2 linked regions of the Anolis sagrei genome follow. The protein of the gene in region 1 interacts with the protein of each later gene in a biochemical or structural test. Links are inferred from orthologs where the notes say so. Each region holds a gene or a part of one and is shown on either strand. Other genes may lie near its edges.

Region 1 (12,854 bases):
GGCCAAACAGGGCATAGGGTTACAGCCTGTGTTGGATGGGGTTACACTCCCACTGAAGACGGAGGTTCTCAGTTTGGGAGTGATCCTGGATTCATCGCTAAGCCTGGAACCCCAGGTTTCAGTGCGCCACCTGCGCCCATACCTTGGGAAGTCTGACTTGGCCACGGTAATTCACACTCTGGTTATATCCCATATAGACTACTGCAATGTGGGCTTGCCTTTGAAGACTGTTCGGAAGCTTCAAATGGTCCAACAGGCAGTAGCCAGGTTACTAACTGGAGCAGCGCTCAGTGAGCATACAACTCCTCTGTTGCGCCAACTCCACCAGCTGCCAATTTGCTACTGGGCACAATTCAAAGTGCTGGCTTTAGCATATAAAGCCCTAAACGGTTCCGGTCCAGCTTACTTGTCTGAACGTATCTCTCCCTATGAACCATAAAGGAATGGAAGATCATCTGGGGAGGCCCTGCTCTCGATCCCACCTTCTTCACAAGCGCATTTGGTGGGGACGAGGGACAGGGCCTTCTCAGTGGTGGCTCCTCGGCTGTGGAACTCCCTCCCTAGGGATATTAGATTAGCCCCCTTCCTCCTGACCTTCCAAAAAAAGTAAAAACTCTTTGAACAAGCCTTTGGAAATGCAGTGCAATAGACAAACATGGAATTATGTAAGTTTGAAACATGGAATGGCTTAAACAACACTATTGGAAAGTGAGATTAACAGTAAGTCAATGGTTATTATATGTTTTTAATTATTTTTGTATTTAATTGTTTTTATATTGATTTTATAATACTGTTTTAGATGTTTTAATTGTGGATTGTTGTAGCATTGAATTGCTGCCAATTTGTAAGCCACCTTCAGTCGCCTTCGGGCTTGAGAAAGACGGGATAGAAATATCGCAAATAAATAAATGTGCATCGTACAATTAATTGAATCTTAGAATCACAGGACTACAGTAGTTTAAATCTGTCCATAGATTCGTTTGCTCTTTCTCTCCATCCAGGTGCTTTTTCATATATGTGTGTGTGTATGTGTGTAGCTGAAATTAGATGCGTTTTATAATAAATGGCATCTTAGAATAGAAAAAATACAAAATACATGTTCCATTATTTCCTGAGGCAGCGGGCAGCTGAGATCCCAATATATGCACAATTCCCCTTTTATTTAAACCTCATAATCAAATTGGAAAAAAAAGGCTCTCTGGGCTTCCTGCTGCCTCAGGACAAAATGGAACATGTAGACCGTATTTCTTCGATTCTAAAGTGCCACTTATTGTAAAACTGGAGCAAAGAGGAAGAAGCAAGAATCAGAAAAATTAGTAAAAATATTGAAATCAACAATGGCACACTATTGAAATCCACTTCCAACCACCTCATATGAGTAAGTTGCAAGCTACAGTAATGTTTCTATTTTGCAAAAAAACATCGAAATGCTTCCTTCCGCCACAATTCAAACAGGTGAGGTGTATTGAAGCTGCTCCTAGCCATTAAAAGGAATTGGCATTGATTCAGTGAGAAATCCTCATCGAGCAAAATGTACAACACCCCCAGGAAATGTGAACAAGGATTGTTGTAAAATACATATTCATGCTGTATGCACCCAAACGTCAATTTCAACATTGCAATTGCCATTGTTATATGATGCATGAAAAGGGGAAATGAAAGAAAACTCAAGGTTTGATTTATGACTCTTTATAGGAGGCATTTCAGATCCGAGAATCGCCCACATATTTGCATAGCAGGTCCCTTGATGATTTTTTAAAAATCCCTTTTGTGTGAAAAGCACTTTATGCGAAATCAAAGCGGGCAGACCTAGAAGCCAAGGAAGGCACACATGGTCAGAATACAATGCTATAGCTCATTTAACGAGGATATAAATGACATTGAACTGAATTCTATGCAAATTTCCAAACTATAGCTTATCAGGAAGTTTGATTCTATTTGTTTTGGACTGAAATAAATTAGATCAGCTGAGCTAGAAAGACTCCAGTTGCCAGCAACTGCTTTCATGGCTTAAAAAGGTCACCACATGTACTCCATTTCTTCAATTGGCATTTTGTTCTGACCACTTACTGTGTTTTTCTTTGTAGGTATCTAGGATATTTCAGACACTCTGGTCATATTAAATTCCCTTTCTTTGGGGGATTTAAAAAAATCCTGACAAAGTGCTTCAGAACATGTCACGGGCAATCAATTGTGGCCAAATGATTGTCTTCCAAAGGTAGAGTCTGAGGCGTAACGTGAAAATAAACCACGTAGTTCACGTTTGATCAGCTCATATGCTGCCTTGCCAGAGAAAGAAAATATGCCACGCAGATGATCTATTAAGAGCAAGTAGTTTACTCTATGTAATTCAGAACAACATATCTACAATTATGTGATTAGTTGCATCGACTCGCATAATGTCCTTTTTTGAGAGATGTAAAATGGTTTAAAGGGAGAAATCTCCCTTCAGCAGCTCTTGAAGCAAGAGCACACTTTAAACCATCTCTCTCTGCTTCTCTCTGCTTCTCTCTGCAAGCACCTGCATAGCTCAAGCCTAAAAAATGTAATAGTAACCAAAATTCCCAGGCTCAGCCAGCTCCCTGGGCATAGCCTTACCAATCAGCTTCATGCTTCTTATTTTACAGTTGACACACACACACTGATTTCTCACATGTTCCAACAGAGTCTTGGCGGTGGATCTGTAAATGACTGTGGAGACTTATTCTAGATCCACATGGTCTTTTGCAGTGAGGACATAGATTTCCAGATGGAAAGCAGTCCCGACAAAGGTTTGCTTGCATTCCACATTTTGTAAGGTTAGCTTTAAGCCCATCTTTAAATCTCTCTTGCCCACCAACATTCTGTTTTCTGTTCTTGAGCTGAGGGTAAAGTAACTGCTTTGGGAGATGGTGATTGGGCATTTGAACAAAGAGGCCAGTCAAGCAAAGTTGATGGCAGAGGATCATCACTTCAGTGCTGGTGGACTTCTGGTGCTTCTTCCAGAACGCTGACATTTGTCCACCTGTCTTCTCAAGAACTTTGCAGGATTTTTCAGAGGCAACAATGATTGAATTGTTCCAGAAGTTGAGTGTGACGCTTGTAGACGGTCCATGTTTTGCAGGCTTATAACAGGGTTGGGAGGACAATAGCTTTAGGTTTTTAAATTTCTCTTGTTATTATCCGCCTGTGAATTATACGAATTGTATTGTTTATTTTGTTTACTGCTTGTTGTTTATTATTGCTTGTTGTTTTTGATGTGTTGTTGTATGCCGCTCTGAGTCTCTTGGGGAGATGGTGGTGGGTTATAAATAAAGTTTATTTATTTATTTATTATTATTATTATTATTATTATTATTACTATTATTTATAAGCAAGCATCTCAGTATCCCTACGAATGTCCCAATCCTCAAACACTCTCTGTTTTATTCGAAAAAATGCTGCACTTGCAGAGCTCAGGCAGTGTTGCACTTGTCTCAATGTTGACTTTGCGGAGAACTGGCTGCCAAGGTAGCAGAAAAGGCCAACATTTTCTAGTGTTACACCATTAAATTGCATTTCTGGCATTGCAGAGGGATTGGTTTGTGCCTGCTGATAGGGCACTTTGGTTTTTTCGATGTTCAGTGAGAGGCCTAGCTTTTCATATGCTTCTGCAAAGGTGTTTAAGTGACTTGTAGGTCTTTCTTTGAACGAGCACAGACTACATCATCAGCATACTTGAGTTCTGTAATGGACCTTCTTCTGAAATTGGTTTTGGCTTTCAGCCTGCTGAGATTAAAGAGCTTGCCATTGGTCCAATATGTGTAGAATGAAATGGAATGGTAATTTGGAGTTTTCCAAATTACCCTGTTTCCCCAAAAGTAAGAAAGGGTCCTATATTCCTTTTTGCTCCAAAATATGTATTAGTGCTTATGTCTAGCTCTCTGGACATTTAAAGATGAGCTTAAAGCCAACTTTAAAAACGGTGGCATAGACACCAAGAACTGGGAAGCCCTGGCCCTTGAGAACTCTAGCTGGAGGTCAGCTGTGACCAACAGTGCTGCGGAATTGTGAGAGGCACAAATGGAGGGAGAAACATGCCAAGAGGAAGGTGCGTCAAGCCAACCCTGATCAGGACTGACTTCTGTCTGGAAACCGATGTCCTCAATGCGGGAGAATATGCAGATGAAGAAAAGGGCTCCACAGCCACCTACGGACCCCACCTCCAAGTCACCACATCTGGAGGACCATCATCCTCGAGCTATGAGGGATCACCTAAGTAAAAAAGCAAAGACAACAAATCCCAAAATTCCTGTACAATTTGTTTTTGCACCAGCTGTTAGGAATGGTGGAAGTTGGAAGTCCAAAACACTTGGAGGGAGAACCCAAGTTTGCACAGGTCTGATCTACACTGTGGAATGAATGCAGTTTGACACCACTTTTATTTATTTATTTATTTATTTAAAACTTTTATATCCCAATCTTTTCTACCTCCAAAGAGGGACTTGGACCGGCTGACAGCAAAGATTCAATGCTAACATTAAAATCTAAAACATATTACAACAACATTACATTACCAAATACAAATAAAATAAATTACATAAAAGCCGTTCGCCAAGATAAAATCGTGTCCAGTTCAGTCCATATATTGTGGTCAGTAACTTTGTTAGATTACCAGTCTCAGACATTATTCTGCAAAGGCTTTGTTCCACAGCTGGGTTTTCACTAGCTTCCTAAAGGTCAGGAGGGAGGGGGCAGATCTAATTTCATTTGGGAAGGAAATTCCAAGGTAAGATCTTAGAAATTAAAATCATGGCTTTGGGACCAGGCCTTCGGACAGTAGATGTTTGTAGAGTTCAAAGGACATGGACTAGAATGACAATATGACTGGCGAGACTGTTTTTATTATTTATTGTTTTAATTATTGCTTATGTACAGTCTAATTATGATTTATGCTTAATTGTCGTTTTATTATTGTGGTTGTTATGGATTGAGATTGCGTCAGTGTCCAATGTATGGCATTGAAGTTTTGCCAGTTATGTGTAAGGAACCCCCGGTGGTGCAGTGGGTTAAACCCCTGTGCTGGCAGGACTGAAGACCGACGGGTTGCAGGTTCAAATCCGGGGAGAGGCGGATGAGCTCCCTCTATCAGCTCCAGCTCCTCATGCGGGGACATGAGAGAAGCCTCCCACAAGGATGATAAAACATCAAAAATCATCCGGGCGTCCCCTGGGCAACGTCCTTGCAGACGGTCAATTCTCTCACAACAGGATGCTCCTGACACGACAAAAAAAAAAAGTTATGTGTAAACCACTTTGAGTCCTCCTAGGGGTGAGAAAAGCAGTATAGAAATACTGTAAGTAAATAAATAGGCAAGGGGCCACCACAGAAAAGGCCCTGTCTCTCATTCCCACCAGATGCGCCTGCGAAGATGGCTGAACCGAGAGCAGGGCCTCTCCAGACGATCTTAGCACTCTTGATGGTTCATAGGGGAGAATACATTCGGACAAAAAAGTTATGTGTAAACGCTTTGAGTCCTCCTAGGGGTGAGAAGAGCAGTATAGAAATACTGTAAATAAATAAATAGGCAAGGGGCCACCACAGAAAAGGCCCTGTCTCTCATTCCCACCAGATGCGCCTGCGAAGATGGCTGGACCGAGAGCAGGGCCTCTCCAGACGATCTTAGCACTCTTGATGGTTCATAGGGGAGAATACATTCGGACAAAAAAGTTATGTGTAAACCGCTTTGAGTCCTCCTAGGGGTGAGAAGAGCAGTATAGAAATACTGTAAATAAATAAATAGGCAAGGGGCCACCACAGAAAAGGCCCTGTCTCTCATTCCCACCAGATGCGCCTGCGAAGATGGCTGGACCGAGAGCAGGGCCTCTCCAGACGATCTTAGCACTCTTGATGGTTCATAGGGGAGAATACATTCGGACAAAAAAGTTATGTGTAAACGCTTTGAGTCCTCCTAGGGGTGAGAAGAGCAGTATAGAAATACTGTAAATAAATAAATAGCCAAGGGGCCACCACAGAAAAGGCCCTGTCTCTTGTCCCCACCAGACGCGCCTGCGAAGATGGCGGGCCCGGGAGTAGGGCCTTCCCAGACGATCTTTGCCCTCTTGATGGTTCATAGGGGAGAATACATTCGGACAGGTACTTTTAACTGCCTGGGAGTTGTAGCTTGGTGTGGCACCAGCCCTCATGGGCAGAGAAGGCTTTAAAATAAACCTGTAAAACGACCATTCTCACAAAACCCCAAAGCATTGAGCTCTGGCAGTGGCAATGGCGCGTACTCTCCATCCAACTCCAAAACACAAAATGAGGGAGGGCATTCTTCCCACGAAGCCCCGCCCACACAGAAGCCCCGCCTTCTTTTCCCATGGCTCGGCGTTTCCTTAGCAACAAGGGGAGGAGGGGGGAGGGAGAGGGAAGCACGCGCTTCTACTGCGCCTGCGCACTTACGCCCTCTGCCTCTCTTTCCCCCGCTCCGCTCCCTTTCAGTGCAAGGGGTGGTCTCTTCCGGTTCACGTCGGCGCAGAGGAAGCCGGGCGGCCATCTTGGATCATCCGGCACTCTTTTGCTGAAGGAGGGAGGGAAGGGAGGAAGCAAGGAGGGAGCTGGCTGGCTGGCTCTGAGGCGGGCTGCGGCCTTTCTTTTTCTTTTCTTCTTGTCTTCTTCTTCTTCCCTCGCGCTCGGATTGAAACATGGGAGCCTAGGCCCGGTGAGGCCTAGGAAAGGCGGAAGGGCGGACGGGAGCCTCCGAGGGACAATCCTGGTGCTCAGCGAAGCAGGGCCATTCTTCCTCCCTCCTCTTTCCCCTTCCTTCCTTTTTTCCCTTTCCTTAGAGCATTGTAGGGCCTGCCTTTTCCTCTCCACCTAGTCTCCCCTTGCTCCCCTCTTTGCCTAATCCCTCCTCCATTCCCCTTTCGTCCCTCCTTGCCCTCCATGAGAGCCCCTCTCCCCTTTAATCCTCCTCCTCTTCCACCTTCCAAGGAGCCTAATCTCCCTGTGGGATGATCCCCCAAGGCTCCTCCATCAGGTTAGGCTATAAATGAGGCAGGGGGCTCCTCTTCGGGGAGGAGGAGGCCCAGAAATCACCCCCCACACCTCACTCCCTCTCACACACTCTCCTCTTTTTTCCCCTTGATGGTGGCAACTCCTAACCACTGTCATGCTGTAAAACTATTCTTTTCTTCCCTTGATGGTGGCAACTCCAAACCACTGTCATGCTGTAAAACTATTCTTTTTTTGTTGTAAATATCTCTCTATATATTTGGAGGAGGAGGGCGTTAGGGTTTTCTTCTCCCCCTTATTTTTTTGATATAATAATAATAATAATATTCCTGGGTTTGGCCATCGCAAACCGGGGCATCAGCACAAGTGAATGAAAATGTCCACCAGAACTCCATTGCCCACCGTGAATGAGCGGGACACTGAAAATGTGAGTGCTGTTCAGGGTTGTTCATAATGAGTGTATTGTAGTTTTATGCTAATTGAGCATCTTTTTGAATGAAATAGCGAATGTTGAATGTCCTAACCTGTTCTGCTTCCCTCTTACAAGGTGCCTCCTGCAGCAGCACTTGGGAGCCCCTCAATATATGCAATATAATTATTATATGCAATATAATAATAACATTGTAAAGTAAAGATACAAATATATTATATATAATGTTAATAATGTTGTATATGTATATGTACTACAACTTACGATATGGTACAATATATAATACTAAAGGCTGAGAAGAGTATACAAATAAAGTAAATAAATAATAGTGTATTATACTGGTAGTGTATTATATATATTGTATGACAATATATTGCAATATAATATATAATACAATAACAATTGTATATTATATATTACATGTATTATCACTAATAAGATTGGAGTATAGTGGTATAGTACAATATAGAAATATATAATACTAATAATGTGCTGTGCTATGATAATATACATATATATTTATATGTACTACAACTTATGATATGGTACAATATATAATACTAATAGTGTACTATACTGGTAGTGTATTATATATATTGTATGATAATATATTGCAATATAATTATATATTACATGAATCATCACTAATAAGATTGGAGTATAGTGGTATAGTACAATATAGTAATATATAATACTAATATTGTGCTGTGCTATGATAATATACATATATATTTATATGTACTACAACTTATGATATGGTACAATACTGTACTACCCTGGTAGTGTATTATATATATTGTATAACAATATATTGCAATATAATAATATATAATATAATAACAATTGTATATTATATATTACATGAATCATCACTAATAAGATTGGAGTATAGTGGTATAGTACAATATAGTAATATATAATACTAATATTGTGCTGTGCTATGATAATAGACACACACATATATATGTAGTAATATTTATTTGTCGTGTCAGAGCAACCAGTCAATTTCTAACAGAACAAAACAAACAAACAGACAAAACACAAAATTTGCAAGTTTGGTAGTTGATTGTATTACATGTATTGCTAATAATTTTGGAGTATAGTGGTATTGTGTATAGTGGTATATATTATATATAATATTAATAATGTTGTAATATAATATATTTTATATTATATGTACTACAACTTATGATATGGTACAATATATTATATACTAATAGTGTACTATACTGGTAGTGTATTATATATATTGTATAATAATATATTGCAATATAATAATATATAATATAATAATTGTATATTATATATTACATGTATTCTATATATAAATAAAAGTGCAATGTTCACTTGTGGGATTAGCTTAACTCAAAACCCACTGGATGAATAGACACCAAATTTGGACACAATGCACATATCAAGTCAACGAGTGGCCTTCATTCATAAAACACTGAAAAACACAGCAGAAGAGACTTAAAAAGCCAAAAAACCAAAAATGCATTACAACACATGCGCAAAACCACACACACACACATATATACACACAAACACACATGTATACACATATACACAAATATACACACACATATACACATATATACACACAGAAAACACATATACACAGACTGGGCCACAGTAACACATGGCAGGGGACGGCTAGTCACTAATAAGATTGGAGTATAGTGGTATAGTACAATATAGTAATATATAATACTAATATTGTGCTGTGCTATGATAATATAGTACAATATAATAAAATGTAGTAATATAATAATTGTATATTATATATTACATGTATTATTACTAATAATTTTGGAGTATAGTGGTATCGTACAGTATAGTAATATACAATACTAATATTGTGCTATGCTAATAATATAATATATTATATATAATATAACCTTGATAATATTATAATGCAATACAATACTAATAATAATACAATACAATTTATAATAATATTGTAATGCCATAATAGTAATGCATTAAATATACTACTGATAATGTATAATCATATATGATATACTTTTATTATTATATATTTGTATATTTTAAGTTGTAATTATTTTATTGTGAGCTACTTTGAGTCTCCATATGGAGAGATAAAGCAGGATATAACTCTCTGCCCCGGAAGCTGGATGGCCATCTGTCAGGGGTGCTTTGAATGTGATTTTCCTGCTTCTTGGTAGGGGGTTGGACTGGATGGCCTACAAGGTCTGTTTCAACTCTATGATAGATAGATAGATAGATAGGGTGTATGCACATGGTTCTTTACAAGATTAAATTTTTCACACATAATGTAAATTCGTTTCATTCATATATGAGAGATACTGTATTGGTATTGTAAATAAAAATAAAGATGTTATTAAGTATTGAAATCCCTTTGTGACTTTTGGCCCACCCTGTATGTACATACACACATACAGTGATAACAGTGATAACTAAACTTCCGTCAGAGCTTGAAATTTTGTAACATATCCTCAGGTTTACTGTTATTACAACAGGCATTGTCTGGCAGCTGGACATGTGATAACAGATGTTTTGCGGGTTGCTATGATGAACATTGTTATTAGGAAAACACCTACTAAGGCCTTCCTACAGTAAGTTGCTGTTCATGTTTAAATTTGGGATCCTCCCCACTCATTCTTATTGAGCCCATCACACTTTACTCTTACGTCTTAGAAATGCAAGAGAGACTTGAACATCCAACATCTTGGACACAACATGTGCTGAAGACTAAAAGCAGATTATGAATAAACATACGGCAGGCAGGAAGGAAGGAGTGGGTCGTTTCCTTTCACAAATAATTCACAGGGTGACCTAGATAACATATCTCAATATGATTTGTATTTCTCTTGAGGGTGCCTTATGCCACCTTCAGTGCTTGAATGTATTGTACATAGATATTAAAGAAAACTGCATTAATTTTTAATTAGCATGATTTTTTTAGTGCTGTGAAACTGTTTTACTTCATTAAAGTAAAGGTAGCCATTTCTCTGTATTTGCTGGATTTAATGAAAAAATCGAATCAAACGATAGCTATGGATATTCCTTCTGTAAAATGTATTGTGTATATATTCATTGATAGAGGGTTCTAAACACAATGCAGATTTTCTTTTACTGTTGAACCAGAAAAGCTGACAGTTTGATAATCTTAAGAATGAAGACTGTTGAGATCTGTGATACTTTTGAAGACGAGAAAGATAGACTAAGCTTATTTTTGTGTTTGTGTGATCTAGTCTGCTTGTCATTGACTGAAAGTACTTGAAACAAGTTTAGATAGGGAGGTGGAACAATTGTTGTATTGTCGGTGCTTTGTATATGTTGACTCAGATAAAATCTCACAGTTTGTTTACTTTAGTTCCTGAAACAAAGCTTATGAAGCTTAAAGGCTGTATTCAATTATAAATAATTCATCGATAGAATATTTGTACATTTTTCAGGCCCACAATGTTTCATTTTAGGGGGAAAACCTGTTCAGTGTTTCATTGTAGTTCATTGTTAACTATGAGATTTTCTTTAGTAGGTTAAATCTTACGGCCACTCAATTTTTTTTACTCTTGTTTAGAATAACTATATCTAGAAGGTCATTGGATAGAACTATGTAGATAATTTTAGTGTGATTATTTAGTCTGGATGAGATGAATTTTTAAATAGGTTGTCAGGTGATGGTCACTGTACTTTAAAATGAAGCAAAGGTAGGACTTATTGGTCTGAAGTATTTATGTTCAGAAGTGGTCCTGGTTCTGATGTAAAAATATAAAATTAATAATGTGGCAGGACTTGTGGCTGGTTTTTGCTTGGCTTGCCATGTCAGAGCTCACAAACAAGGTATAACTGGATTGGTTGGTTGGATGCAGAGTATGAATATAGATAGTACTCTGATGAGTTGTAATTTACACAGAGGCATGCTCTTGACCACAAAAGTACTAGATCACAGGAGGATCCTTAATATGAGTAAAGGTAACACAGGTTAGTGTTGCCCTGATTTCATTTAAAATTTGGAAATTTAGAATTGATACCTTTATGTAGAACTTAATAAATGTTTGCTTCCCTCTTTAATTACTGGGTTTAAAATATTATTCCATTTTAGCTGTGGTGGCAGTAGGAGGGGAATAGCTGAAAAAAGCAGAAAATTCAAGGTATCCTAGCAGTACTTTTGGATTTGACAGTCCTGAATCCTTCATTACATTGCATGCTTAAAAGTTCTCATGATAATAGAGAAGAGAGATAAATGAACCAGTGCTAAATTTTCCAAGGTAATATTCATCAGCTCCTATTGGCAGAAACAGATAATATTTCCGACAGTTTCATATTGATTCTCAGAAAAATGCTGAATGAGCATTGTTCTTGCTTGTGCTTGAAGCTGAACCATGTAAAGTAATTGTTAAAAGGGAAGACAAATTCTACAAGCCAATGTAGAAACCTATATTTCTTTTCAGACACTACTGGGTGTTATGTCATTCTCTAGGAGCAAATCTATAAGATCTACAAACCGAGCAAGGAGAATGCTCATGCTATGAACCAAAATTCCAAATCCAAAAGTTCTCACTTTTTTCTTTAGTGTGTGTGAGTTTAAGATGATTAATTTCTGCTTGAATTTTGTCTGATTTCTATTCTGATAGACTTCATACCTCAAGGCTCTTCCACTTGTATTCTGCTGTCAGGGGGCTGTAGAATGGGCCTCCCCTTGAGGGCTAAGCACACACTTTCTGCGAGCAGCAGCTGCAGAATAGGAAAATAGATGTCTTAATGGCCTTAATTAATGGTAGAATATGAAGTTGTATATATATATTGCATGATGTGGCTCTTAGTTTTTCAACCTGGATAACATTCAGTTCATACACCTTTTCTTTTGCTTAGTCAAAGGTTTAAAAGAAATCGCTATCATATCAAACAGCTCTCACATTGTTTTCAGGCAGAAAGTTGCATTTTAAATAATTGATGTATTTTTGGTGTGTCTCAATATCATTTAGTGGGTTAGACTGACCTAGAAAGCATTGTTCTATGAAGACATCTGTTTCAATAGCATTTTCTTGGGCAGTACTGACATTTTGTAAGTGATGCATTTTGAAAACACATCTGTGGTGTGAAAGTTTCCTGCATGGCAGGAGGTTGGACTAGATGACTCATGTGGTCTCTTTCAATTCTATGGTTCTATGGTAAATTCAGTTTGTTTTGCCTAATATTCTGGGGCAGCTCAGGTTTTGAAATATAATAAAATGGAGTAAGTTTTTTGAATGAAACAAGAATTTTTTTCACTGTGTCCACTGGCTGTTCAGTGTAGCGCATTTGTTATACTCAGTGGACTTCTGATACAGTTGTTGATTAGTGAAAGATAAACTGTCAAGTAGTAACACCTGACAGTGATCGGGGCATTGCTAGAGAATGTACCTGCTGCCATACTGTTAATTTCACAGTGACCTATTATTTACTTACTTTACACAAAAAC
Region 2 (12,080 bases), on another chromosome or scaffold:
TTGACGAGCTGGAATGTGTCCAGAGGAGGGTGACTAAAATGATCAAGGGTCTGGAGAACAAGCCCTATGAGGAGCGGCTTAGGGAACTGGGCATGTTTAGCCTGAAGAAGAGAAGGCTGAGAGGAGATATGATAGCCATGTATAAATATGTGAGAGGAAGCCACAGGGAGGAGGGAGCAAGCTTGTTTTCTGCTTCCTTGGAGACTAGGACGCGGAACAATGGCTTCAAACTACAAGAGAGGAGATTCCATCTGAACATGAGGAAGAACTTCCTGACTGTGAGAGCCGTTCAGCAGTGGAACTCTCTGCCCCGGAGTGTGGTGGAGGCTCCTTCTTTGGAAGCTTTTAAGCAGAGGCTGGATGGCCATTTGTCAGGGGTGATTTGAATGCAATATTCCTGCTTCTTGGCAGAATGGGGTTGGACTGGATGGCCCAAGAGGTCTCTTCCAACTCTTTGATTCTATGATTCTATGATTCATTTCTTTGCTTTTTCCCCTTCCTAACATTATAACTAATCCTCCCAATAAAAAGTATCAATTAATTGTAACCTTTCCCTCTCCATAGTGTTACTTTGTGTCCTTTGCTGCCTCAAAGCTTCTCTTTCAACAAACCTTTCAATAAAGGCCAAAACTGCTTTCCCTTAAACCGCGGATACGGAAACCCCCTTCGGGGCCCCGTATCCGCGGGTCAACCGATCGCCTTGAAAATGGTGTCAGTTTTCTCTTGGAAGAATTCTAAGACTAATGGCTATCTCGGTTTCGCTCCGCTGTCCTTTCCGCCCAGGGAATAACCTTTTTTGCCCCCAAAACCATATCCTGGAGTCCGGCTGTTTTTCTGAAGACGCTGCCTCGCTGCCACCGTTTTGTCGGGATTGGTGCTCGTCTCCATTTCTAAGCTGAAGAACTGGCATTGTCCGTAGATGTCTCCAAGGTCATGTGGTCAGCATGACTGCATGGAGCGCTGATACCTTTCTGCCAAAGCAGTACCTATTGCTCTACTCACATTTGCATACTTAAAATCTGGAGGTCATGTAGTCCAATCTGCTGCTCATAGAATCATAGAATCAAAGAGTTGGAAGAGACCTCATGGGCCATCCAGACCAACCCCCTGCCAAGAAGCAGGAACATTGCATTCAAATCACCCCTGACAGATGGCCATCCACCCCCTGTTTAAAAGCTTCCAAAGAAGGAGCCTCCACCACACAGAGAGTTCCACTGCTGAATGGCTCTCACAGTCAGGAAGTTCTTCCTCGTGTTCAGATAGAATCTCCTCTCTTGTAGTTTGAAGCCATTGCTCCGCGTCCTAGTCTCCAAGGAAGCAGAAAACAAGCTTGCTCCCTCCTCCCTGTGGCTTCCTCTCACATATTTATACATGGCTATCATATCTCCTCTTGGCCTTCTCTTCTTCAGGCTAAACATGCCCAGCTCCTTAAGCCACTCCTCATAGGGCTTGTTCTCCAGACCCTTGATCATTTTAGTCGCCCTCCTCTGGACACATTCCAGCTTGTTAATATCTCTCTTGAATTGTGGTGCCCAGAATTGGACACAGTCCAGACTTTGCTTGCTGTTACCTTCCCACCAGAGCAGTACCTATCGATCGACTCACGTTTGCATGTTTTTGAACTGCTAGGTTGGCAGAAGCTAGGGCTAACAGCGGGAGCTTACCCCTCTCCCTGGATTCGAACCACCGACCTTTCGGTCAGTAAGTTCATCAGCTCAGCAGTTTAATCCTGTTAATTGCTGTTAATTGTATATTTATGTTTTGACATGGGCGCCATGGGGTGCCACTTTGTTAGCCGTCCTGAGTCCCTCTGCGGAGGTTGAGAAAGGACGTGATATAAAAGCCCTAAATAAGTAATAATAAATAATAATCCACTGTGCCACCAGGGGGCCCAATATATAATATACTAGTGTTATTACAATGTTACTATTTCTATATATTATTATCTTGTTTATTATTATTATTATTATTATTATTATTATTATTATTATTTTTATTTTGTATAAAGGTAAATGTAAAGGTTTCCCCTTGACATTAAGTCTAGTTGAGTTCAACTTTGGGGGGTGGTGCTCATCTCCATTTCTAAGCCGAAGAGCCGGCATTGTCCGCAGACACCTCCAAGGTCATGTGGCCAGCATCACTTCATGGAGCGCCCTTTCCTTCCCGCCAGAGCAGTACCTATTGATCTACTCACATTTGCATGTTTTCGAACTGCTAGGTTGGCAGAAGCTGGGGCTAACAGCAGGAGCTTACCCCGCTCCCCGGATTCGAACCACCGACCTTTCAGTCAGCAAGTTCACCAACTCAGCGGTTTCACCCACTGCGCCACCAGGGGGCCCAATATATATATATTAGTATTATTACACTGTTATTATTTCTATATATTATTATATATTGTTTATTATTATATTGAATAATAAATAAATAAATACAATTATTATTGTATTGTCGAAGGCTTTCATGGCTGGAATCACTAGGTTCTTGTGGGTTTTTTCGGGCTATAGAGCCATGTTCTAGAGGCATTTCTCCTGACGTTTCGCCTGCATCTATGGCAAGCATCCTCAGAGGTAGTGAGGTCTGTTGGAAGTAGGAAAATGGGTTTATATATCTGTGGAATGGCTGGGGTGGGGCAAGGAGCTCTTCCCTGCTGCAGCTAGGTGTGAATGTTTCAGCTGACCACCTTCATTAGCATTTGAAGGCCTGCCTGAGCCTGGGAAAATCTCTTGCTGGGAGGTGTTAATCTGTGCCTGGTTGTTTCCTCTCTGAAGAGCTGGCGTTGTCCGTAGACACCTTCAAGTGTTGCCCATGCCTGGTCTACACTGTAGAATTAATGCAGTTTGACCCCACTGTATCTGTCATGGCTCAGTGCTATAGAATCCTGGGATTTATAGTTTACCTTTGCTGCCAAAGAGTACTGGTGCCTCACCCGCCTACAGAATCTATAGTTCCATAGCCATACACACCATGCATATATTCACCTTTATTATATGCATATATAGATAGATTAAAATACTAATTGAACTCAGTGGCTCCCTCTGTTGGCCACATGAGGCATAGCTGCATGGAGGTTGCCCTGAAAAACTATGAATTTTGACCCCTCCAATCAGGAGACACTAATGGCCTTCCTTCCAATGACACTGGAGGTTATAGTGAGTGCCATGAATATGTCCTAGAGCCCTGCCTACATCCTTCACGAACACCACCCAAGTGAAGGCTTTCTTACGTGGACAATTTCATCCCAGATTTTGTGTGTTTCCTCCACCACAGACATCCCAGTGTTTCTTACTCGTTCCATTGGTGTGGGATTTGCATGACCCCGCCCACTGCCTCTCCCTTAACTCTATAATATGATTATATATATTGTATATAATATATATTTATATATATTATTATATTGTATATAATATGCAATATATATTATATGGTTATATGACTATATATATTGTATATAATATACAATATATTATATATACCATTATATTGTATATAATATGCAATATATTTAATATTTATATCAGAAGACATAGAATCAAAGAGTTGGAAGAGACCTCATGGGCCATCCAGTCCAACCCCATTCTGCCAAGAAGCAGGAATATTGCATTCAAATCACCCCCGACAGATGGCCATCCAGCCTCTGTTTAAAAGCTTCCAAAGAAGGAGCCTCCACCACACTCCGGGGCAGAGAGTTCCACTGCTGAACGACTCTCACAGTCAGGAAGTTCTTCCTCATAGAACTTAAGGTTATATGATTTTATATATTGTATATAATATATATTTATATATATATATTATATTGTACATAATATGCAATTTATATTACATGGTTATATGGCAATATATATTGTATATAATATGCAATATATATAATATTTAAAAGGTTATATGATTATGTATATTGTATATACTATATATTTATATATATATATGATATGGTTATATGACCATACAATATATATTATATTATATATATTATATTGTATATAATATACAATGCATATTATTGTATATATCATTAGGTAAAGGTTGTCCCCTGACATTAAGTCCAGTCATGTCTGACTCTGGGGTGTGGTGCTCATCTCCATTTCTAAGCCGAAGAGCCAGCGTTGTCCGTAGACACCTCCAAGGTCATGTGGCCAGCATGACCGCATGGAGCGCCGTTACCTTCCCGCCGGAGCGGTTCCTATTGATCTACTCACATTTGCATGTTTTCGAACTGCTAACAGCTGGGGCTAACAGCGGATGCTCATGCCGCTCCCCGGATTCGAACCTGTGACCTTTCAGTTAACAAGCTCAGCAGCTCAGCGCTTTAACCCACTGCGCCACCGGGGGGCTCCATATCATTATATTATATACAATATGCAATATATATAATATTTATAAGGTTATATGATTATGTATATAATATATATATATATATATATATATAATTTTGTATATAATACACAATATATATGGTTATACAATACACAATATATTATATATGACCATACAATATATATTATATTATATATATGATATTATATTTCATATTGTATTGTATATAATATACAATGCATATTATTGTATATATCATTATATTGCATATAATATGCAATATATATATATACATAATATTTATAAGGTTATATGATTATGTGTGTATATATATATATATATATATATTGTATATAATGCACAATATATATTATATGGTTATATGGCCATACAATATATATTATATTGTATGTAATATACAATGCATATTATTATGCATATCATTATATTGTATATAATATGCAATATATATAATATTTATAAGGTTATATGATTATGTTTATTATATATATATATATATATATACACAATATATATTATATAGTTATATGACCATACAATATATATTATATTATATATATTATATTATGTATTATATTATATATATTATATAATGCATATTATTATGCATATCATTATATTGCATATAATATGCAATATATATAATATTTATAAGGTTATATGATTATGTATAATATATATATATGATATTGTATATAATACACAATATGTATTATATGGTTATATGAACATACAATGTATATATATGTATTATATTTTATTATCTATTATATTGTATATAATATACAATGCATATTATTATGCATATCATTATGTTGTATGTAATATGCAATATATATTATAAAGTTATATGATTATAATATATAATCCTATAACTTTATAATATATATTGCATATTATATACAATATAATTATTGTATATATACTATATATTTATATATATTTATATATATTTATATATATTATATGGAGCCCCCTGTGGCGCAGTGGGTTAAAGCACTGAGCTGCTGAGCTTGTTGATCGAAAGGTCGCAGGTTCGATTCCGGGGAGCGGCGTGAGCTTCCGCTATCAGCCCTAGCTTCTGCCAACCTAGCAGTTTGAAAACATGGAAATGTGAGTAGATCAATAGGTACCGCTCCGGCGGGAAGGTAAGGGCGCTCCATGCAGTCATGCCGGCCACATGACCTTGGAGGTGTCTACGGACAACGCTGGCTCTTCGGCTTAGAAATGGAGATGAGCACCACACCCCAGAGTCAGACATGACTGGACTTAATGTCAGGGGACTACCTTTTTACCTTTTATATATATTATTATATTGTTTATAATATGCAATATATTTTGATATACTAGACTGGATGGCCCATGAGGTCTCTTCCAACGCTATCGTTCTATGATTTTATAATTCTACATATATTACATATATTATGACAGCTGTTTATTTTAACTTCTTTTATACCGAGGGTTGTATGTATGACTATGTGTTAATTGTGTTATGTGTTAAATGTTTTGATACGGCCAATAGGCCAATCAATAGAACGTATCCACTATCCACATATATTATTATATACACTATTAAATTGTATTTAATATGCAATACATATTATATATATTATAAGGTTACATGATATATATATGTATTGTATATAATATAAACGTATATTACTATATTACTTATATACATAATATTATTATATTGTATACAATATACAATATATTATTATATATAACATATTATATATGTTATATTAAGTTATATAAATATCACTGTTTATAATATGCAATATATTATATTATAAGGTTATATGATTATATATTATATAGTATATAATTATATATTACATACTATATTGTCTACATTGTATCTATTGAGGGTCCACCTCTTATGCCTATTATTATTATTATTACCATGGTTGCTCTAATCTTTGGGCTTGAATGGGCAGAGAGGCCGCCCACCCTCTGCAGAGAACTACATCCCCCGGCATTCTTTGCGGGAGCCAACCCCCTCCTTCCGGTCCCCCGCCCCCCTCGCAGCCGATATAAATACAGACCTATGCCTCTTATTACCATGGTTGCTCTTTGGGCTTGAATGGGGAGAGAGGCCGCCCACCCTCTGCAGAGAACTACATCCCCCGGCATCCTTTGCGGGAGCCAACCCGCTCCTTCCGGTCCCCCCGCCCCCCTCGCAGCCGATATAAATAAAGACCGTCGCGAGGCGAAGAAGAAGAAGGCGGAGGGCTGTTGTCAGGTGGATGCTGCGGCGGAGGCCTCTCCTGCAGCCCTGCCTCGATTTTTCCTCAGAGGGAAAGATCTATTGGAGAGAAGGGGAGCAGTATTCCTGAGGCGGATTCTCCTCAGAAGAAGAGGCCATTTTTCCCTGATGCCGAGGCATGGATAGGGCAGCGCCGCCACCGCCGAGGATGGGCGAGAAGAAGAAGGGCGGGCGGGCCAAGGAGGAGGAGGAGGCCAAAGGAAGAGGAGGCCGAGGAGGAGGAGGAGGCCAAGGCGGAGGGAGGCCGGCCTGCGCGGCGCAGCAATGCGGGCAGCTGCAGGACCTCATCGACATCTCCCTCTCCAGCCTGCAAGGCCTCCGCACCAAGTGCGCCGCCTCCAACGACCTCACGCAGCACGAGATCCGCGCCCTGGAGGTAAAGGAGTCCCCCCTCAGAGAGAGAGAGAGATAGATATATAGACACACACAGAGGCATATACACACTCCCTGCTCACCCTTGGCCAAGGGGAGGGGGAGGCTGCGCTCGGAATTGGGGGCGGGGCTCCTTTCTAAGCCCCGCCCCCTTCCCTTTAAAAAAGGAGGGGGACTCTGCAGGGTCAGGGAAGGGGCCACCTGGGAGGAGACACTGGGTTGGGGCTCATAGGGGAAGGAAGGAAGGAAGGAAGGAAGGAGAGAAAGAGGGAAGGGAAAAAAAGAAGCAGAGAAGGAAGGAAGGTAGATGAAGGATGGAAAGAAAGGTAGAGAAGGACAGAGAGAAGGAAGGAAAGAGAGGGAATGAAGAAGGAAAGGAGAGAAAGAGACAGGAAAGGAAAGTGGGAAGAAAAGAAGCAGGGAAGGCAAGAAGGGTAGAGAAGGAAGGAAAGAAAGGGAACGAAGGAGAGAAAGGGAGGGAAGGAAAGAAGCAGAGAAGGCAAGAAAAAAAGAGAAGGAAAGAAAGAGGGAATGGAGGAGAGAAAGAGGGAGGGAAGGGAAAAAAGAAGCAGAGAAGGAAGGCAGGCAAGAAAGGTAGAGAAGCAAAGAGAGAAGGAAAGAAAAAAGAGAAGGAAAGAAAGAAAGAGGGAATGGAGAGAAAAAGAGAGGGAAGGGGAAAAAGAAGCAGAGAAGGATGGAAAGAAAGGAAGAGAAGGAAAGAGACAAGGAAAGAAAAAAGAGAAGGAAAGAAAGAAAGGGAATATGAAGGAGAGAAAGAGGGAGGGAAGGAAAGGGGGAAGGGAAAAAAGCAGAGAAGAAAGTAAAGGTAGAGAAGGATGGAAAGAACGGTAAAGAAGGACAGAGAGAAGGAAGGAAAGAAAGAGGGAATGAAGAATGAAAGGAGAGAAAGAGGGAGGGGAGGAAAGGGGGAAGGGGAAAAAGAAGCAGAGAAGAAAGGAAAGGTAGAGAAGGACAGAGAGAAGGAAAGAAAAAAGAGAAGGAATGAAAGAAAGAAGGATTGAAGGAGAGAAAGGGAGGGAAGGAAAGCGGGAATGGAAAAAAAAGAAGCAGAGAAGGAAGGAAAGGTAGAGAAGGACAGAGAGAAGGAAGGAAAAGAAGAGGGAATGAAGAAGGAAAGGAGAGAAAGAGGGGGGAAAGGAAAGGGGGAAGGAAGAAAAGAAGCAGGGAAGGAAGGAAGGCAAGAAAGGTAGAGAAGGAAAGAAAAAAGAGAAGGAAAGAAAGAAAGGGAATGATGAAGGAGAGAAAGAGGGAGAGAAGGGAAAAAGAAGCAGAGAAGGAAGAAAAGGTAGAGAAGGATGGAAAGAAAGGTAGAAAAGGACAGAGAGAAGGAAAGAAAAAAGAGAAGGAAGGAAAGAAAGAAAGAGGGAATGAAGGAGAAAAAGAGGGAGGGAAGGAAAGAGGGAAGGGAAAAAAAGAAGCAGAGAAAGAAGCAAAGGTAGAGAAGGATGGAAAGAAAGGTAGAGAAGGACAGAGAGGAGGAAAGGAAAGGGGGAAGGAAGAAAAGAAGCAGAGAAGGAGGGAAGGCAGAAAAGGTAGAGAAGGAAAGAAAAAAAAGGAAAGAAAGAGGGAATGAAGGAGAGAAAGAGGGAGGGAAGGGAAAAAAAGAAGCAGAGAAGGATGGAAAGAACAGTAAAGAAGGACAGAGAGAAGGAAAGGAAAAAAAAGAAGGAAGGAAAGAAAGGGAATGAAGGAGAGAAAGAGGGAGGGAAGGGAAAAAAAGAAGAGAAGGATGGAAAGAACGGTAAAGAAGGACAGAGAGAAGGAGAGAAAGAGGGAATAAAGGAGAGAAAGAGGGAAGGGGAAAAAAAGAAGCAAAGAAAGGTATAGATAGAAGGACAGAGAGAAGGAAAGAAAAAAGAGAAGGAAAGAAAGAGGGAATGAAGAAGGAAAGGAGAAAGAGGGAGGAAAGGAAAGGGGGAAGGAAGAAAAGAAGCAGAGAAGGAAGGAAAGGTAGAGAAGGAAAGAGACAAGGAAAGAAAGAGGGAATGAAGGAGAGAAAGAGGGAAGGGAAAAAAGAAGCAGAGAAGGAAGGAAAGGTAGAGAAGGATGGAAAGAAAGGAAGAGAAGGACAGGGAGAAGGAAGGAAAGAAAGGGAATGAAGGAGAGAAAGAGGGAGGGAAGGGAAAAAAGCAGAGAAGGAAGGAAAGATAGAAAAGGATGGAAAGAAGGAAAGAAAAAAGAAGAAAGGAAAGAAAGAGGGAAGCAAGAAGGAAAAGAGAAAGAGGGAGGAAAGGAAAGGAGGAAGAAAAGAAGCAGAGAAGGAAGGAAGGCAAGAAAGGTAGAGAAGGAAAGAGACAAGGAAGGAAAGAAAGAGGGAGGGAAGGGAAAAAAAAGAAGCAGAGAAGGATGGAAAGAACGGTAAAGAAGGACAGAGAGAAGGATAGAAAAAAAGAGAAGGGAGGGAAGGAAAGGGGGAAGAATAGCAGAGAAGGAAGGAAGGCAAGAAAGGTAGAGAAGGAAAGAAAAAAGAGAAGGAAAGAAAGAGGGAGGGAAGCGAAAAAAGAAGCAGAGAAGGAAGGCAAGGTAGAGAAGGATGAAAAGAAAGGTAGAGAAGGAAAGAAAAAAAGAGAAGGAAGGAAAGAAAAAGGGAATGAAGAAGGAGAGAAAGAGGGAGGGAAGGAAAGAGGGAAGGGAAAAAAGAAGCAGAGAAGGAAGCAAAGGTAGAGAAGGATGGAAAGAAAGGTAGAGAAGGAAAGAAAAAAGAGAAGGAAAGAAAAAAGAGAAGGAAGGAAAGAGAGAAAGAGGGAGGGAAGGAATGAGGGAAGGGAAAAAAGAAGCAGAGAAGGAAGCAAAGGTAGAGAAGGAAAGAAAAAAGAGAAGGAAGGAAAGAAAGAGGGAATGAAGAAGGAAAGGAGAGAAAGAGGGAGGAAAGGAAAGGGGGAAGGAAGGCAAAAAAGGTAGAGAAGGAAGAAAAAAAGAGAAGGAAGGAAAGAAAGGGAATGAAGACTCGGAGAAAGAGGGAGGGAAGAAAAGAAGCAGAGAAGGAAGGAAGGAAAGGTCGAGAACGAAGGCGAGAAGGAAAGAATAAAAGAAGGCAGGAAAGAAAGAGGGAATGAAGAAGGAAAAGAGAAAAAGGGAGGGAAAGAAGGAAAGATGGAAGGAAGAAAAGAAGCGGGGAAGGAAGGAAGGAAAGAAATAGGGAATGAAGAAGAAAAGGAGAGAAAGAGGAAGAAGGAAGAAAAGAAGCAGGGAAGGAAAGAAAGGTAGAGAAGGAAAGAGAGAAGTAAAGAAAAAAAGAGAAGGAAGGAAAGAGAAGAAAGAAGGAAAGAAGGAGAAAAAGAGGGAGAGAAGGAAGAAAAGGTGCAGAGAAAGAAGGAAGGAAAGAAATAGGGAATGAAGAAGGAGAGAAAGGAAGGGAAGGAAGAAAAGAAGTAGGGAAGGAAAGAACGGTAGAGAAGGAAAGAAAGAGGGAGGGAAGGAAGAAGGAAAGAAGGAGAAAAAGAGGGAGGGAAGGAAGGATAGAGAAAAGGAAGGATGGAACCAAAGATCAAAGAGAAAGAGGTAGAGAAAGAAGAAAGGAGAGAAAGAGGGAGGGAAAGAAAATAATAATATTAATAGTAATAATAATAATCTTTATTCATACCCTGCCACCATCTCCCCAAAGGGGACTTGGGGCAGCTAACATGAGGCCAAGCCCAAAAATAATAAAAAATGAGGCTGCTTGGAGTTGGGTGTGGGGCTCCTTTTTCGGCCCCGCCCCCTTTCCTTTAAAAAAGGAGGGGATATCTGCAGGGTCAGGGAAAGGGTTTACTGGGAGCCATTGTATTGGGACTTATAGGGGAAGGAAGGAAGAAAAGAGGGAAGGAAGAAAAGAAGCAGAGAGGAACGAAAGAAAGGAGAGAAGGAAAGAAAAAAGAGAAGGCAGGAAAGAGAGGGAATGAAGAAGGAAAGAAGGAGAAAAAGGGAGGGAAGAAAGAAAAGAAGCAGAGAAGGAAAGAAAGAAAAAAGGTAGAGAAGGAACGAAAGGTAGAGAAGGAAGGAGAGAAGGAAAGAAAAAAGAGAAGGCAGGAAAAAGGGAGGGAAGGAAGAAAAGAAGCAGAGAAGGAAAGAAAGGAAAAAGGTAGAGAAGGAATGGAAGGAAGGAGAGAAGGAAAGAAAAAAGAGAAGGCAGGAAAGAAAGGGAATGAAGAAGGAAAGAAGGAGAAAAAGGGAGGGAAGGAAGAAAAGCAGAGAAGGAAAGAAAGGCAGAGAAGGAAGGAGAGAAGGAAAGAAAAAAGAGAAGGCAGGAAAGAAAGAGGGAATGAAAGAAGGAGAAAAAGGGAGGGAAGGAAGAAAAGAAGCAGAGAAGGAATGAAAGAAAAAAGGTAGAGAAGGAATGAAAGAAAGGTAGAGAAGGAAGGAGAGAAGGAAAGAAAAAAGAAGGCAGGAAAGAAACGGAATGAAGAAGGAAAAAAGGAGAAAAAGAGGGAGGGAAGGGAAGAGGGAGGGAGATAAGGAAAAAGAAGCAGAGAAGGAAGGAAGGAAAGAAAGGTAGAGAAGAAAGGAGAGAAGGAAAGAAAAAAGAGAAGGCAGGAAAGAAAGAGGGAGGGAAGGAAGGAGGAAATGAAAGTGAAGGAAGAAAAGAAGCAGAAAAGGAAGGAAAGAAAGGTAGAGAATGAAAGAAAGGGAATGAAGAAGGATAGAAGGAGTTAAAGAGGGAGGGAAGAAAGGAAAGGTAGAGAAGGAAGGAGAGAAGGAAAGAAAAAGAGAAGGCAGGAAAGAAAGAGGGAATGAAGAAAGAAAGGAAAAAAGGGAGGGGAGGAAAGAAAGAGAGAAGGAAGGAGAGAAGGAAAGAAAAAAAGAGAAAGCAGGAAAGAAAGAGAGAATGAAGTAGGAGAAAAGGGGGAAGGTAGGAGGAAATGAAAGTGAAGGAAGAAAAGAAGCAGGGAAGGAAGGAAAGGTAGAGAAGGAAGGAGGGAAGGAAAGAAAAAAGGAAGGAGAGAAAGAGGGAGGGAAGGAAAGAAAGGTAGAGAAAGAAGGAGAGAAGGAAAGGAAAAAAGGGAAGGAAATAAAGAGGGAATGAAGGAAAGAGAGAGAGAGAGAAGGAAGGAAGGAAAGAGAGAAGGAAGGATGGAACCAAAGAGCGAAGGAAGGAAGGAAAGAA

Evidence for each region.
Region 2: of the proteins of MARK3 (region 1) and KSR1, one has a biochemical effect on the other in vitro, tested with the Homo sapiens proteins (2 studies listed by BioGRID). The link is inferred for Anolis sagrei from reciprocal best matches to the Homo sapiens genes MARK3 and KSR1.

Annotation. Positions count from the first base shown.
Region 1 is NC_090021.1:327,713,837-327,726,690, reverse strand, and holds the start of MARK3 (MAP/microtubule affinity-regulating kinase 3), read left to right. Parts: upstream 1-6,493; 5' UTR 6,494-7,345; coding exon 7,346-7,402; intron 7,403-12,854. UniProt on the Homo sapiens protein: Serine/threonine-protein kinase. Involved in the specific phosphorylation of microtubule-associated proteins for MAP2 and MAP4. Phosphorylates the microtubule-associated protein MAPT/TAU. Phosphorylates CDC25C on 'Ser-216'.
Region 2 is NC_090031.1:21,358,148-21,370,227, forward strand, and holds the start of KSR1 (kinase suppressor of Ras 1), read left to right. Parts: upstream 1-6,513; 5' UTR 6,514-6,722; coding exon 6,723-6,980; intron 6,981-9,398; exon of another isoform or gene 9,399-9,679; intron 9,680-9,791; exon of another isoform or gene 9,792-9,885; intron 9,886-12,080.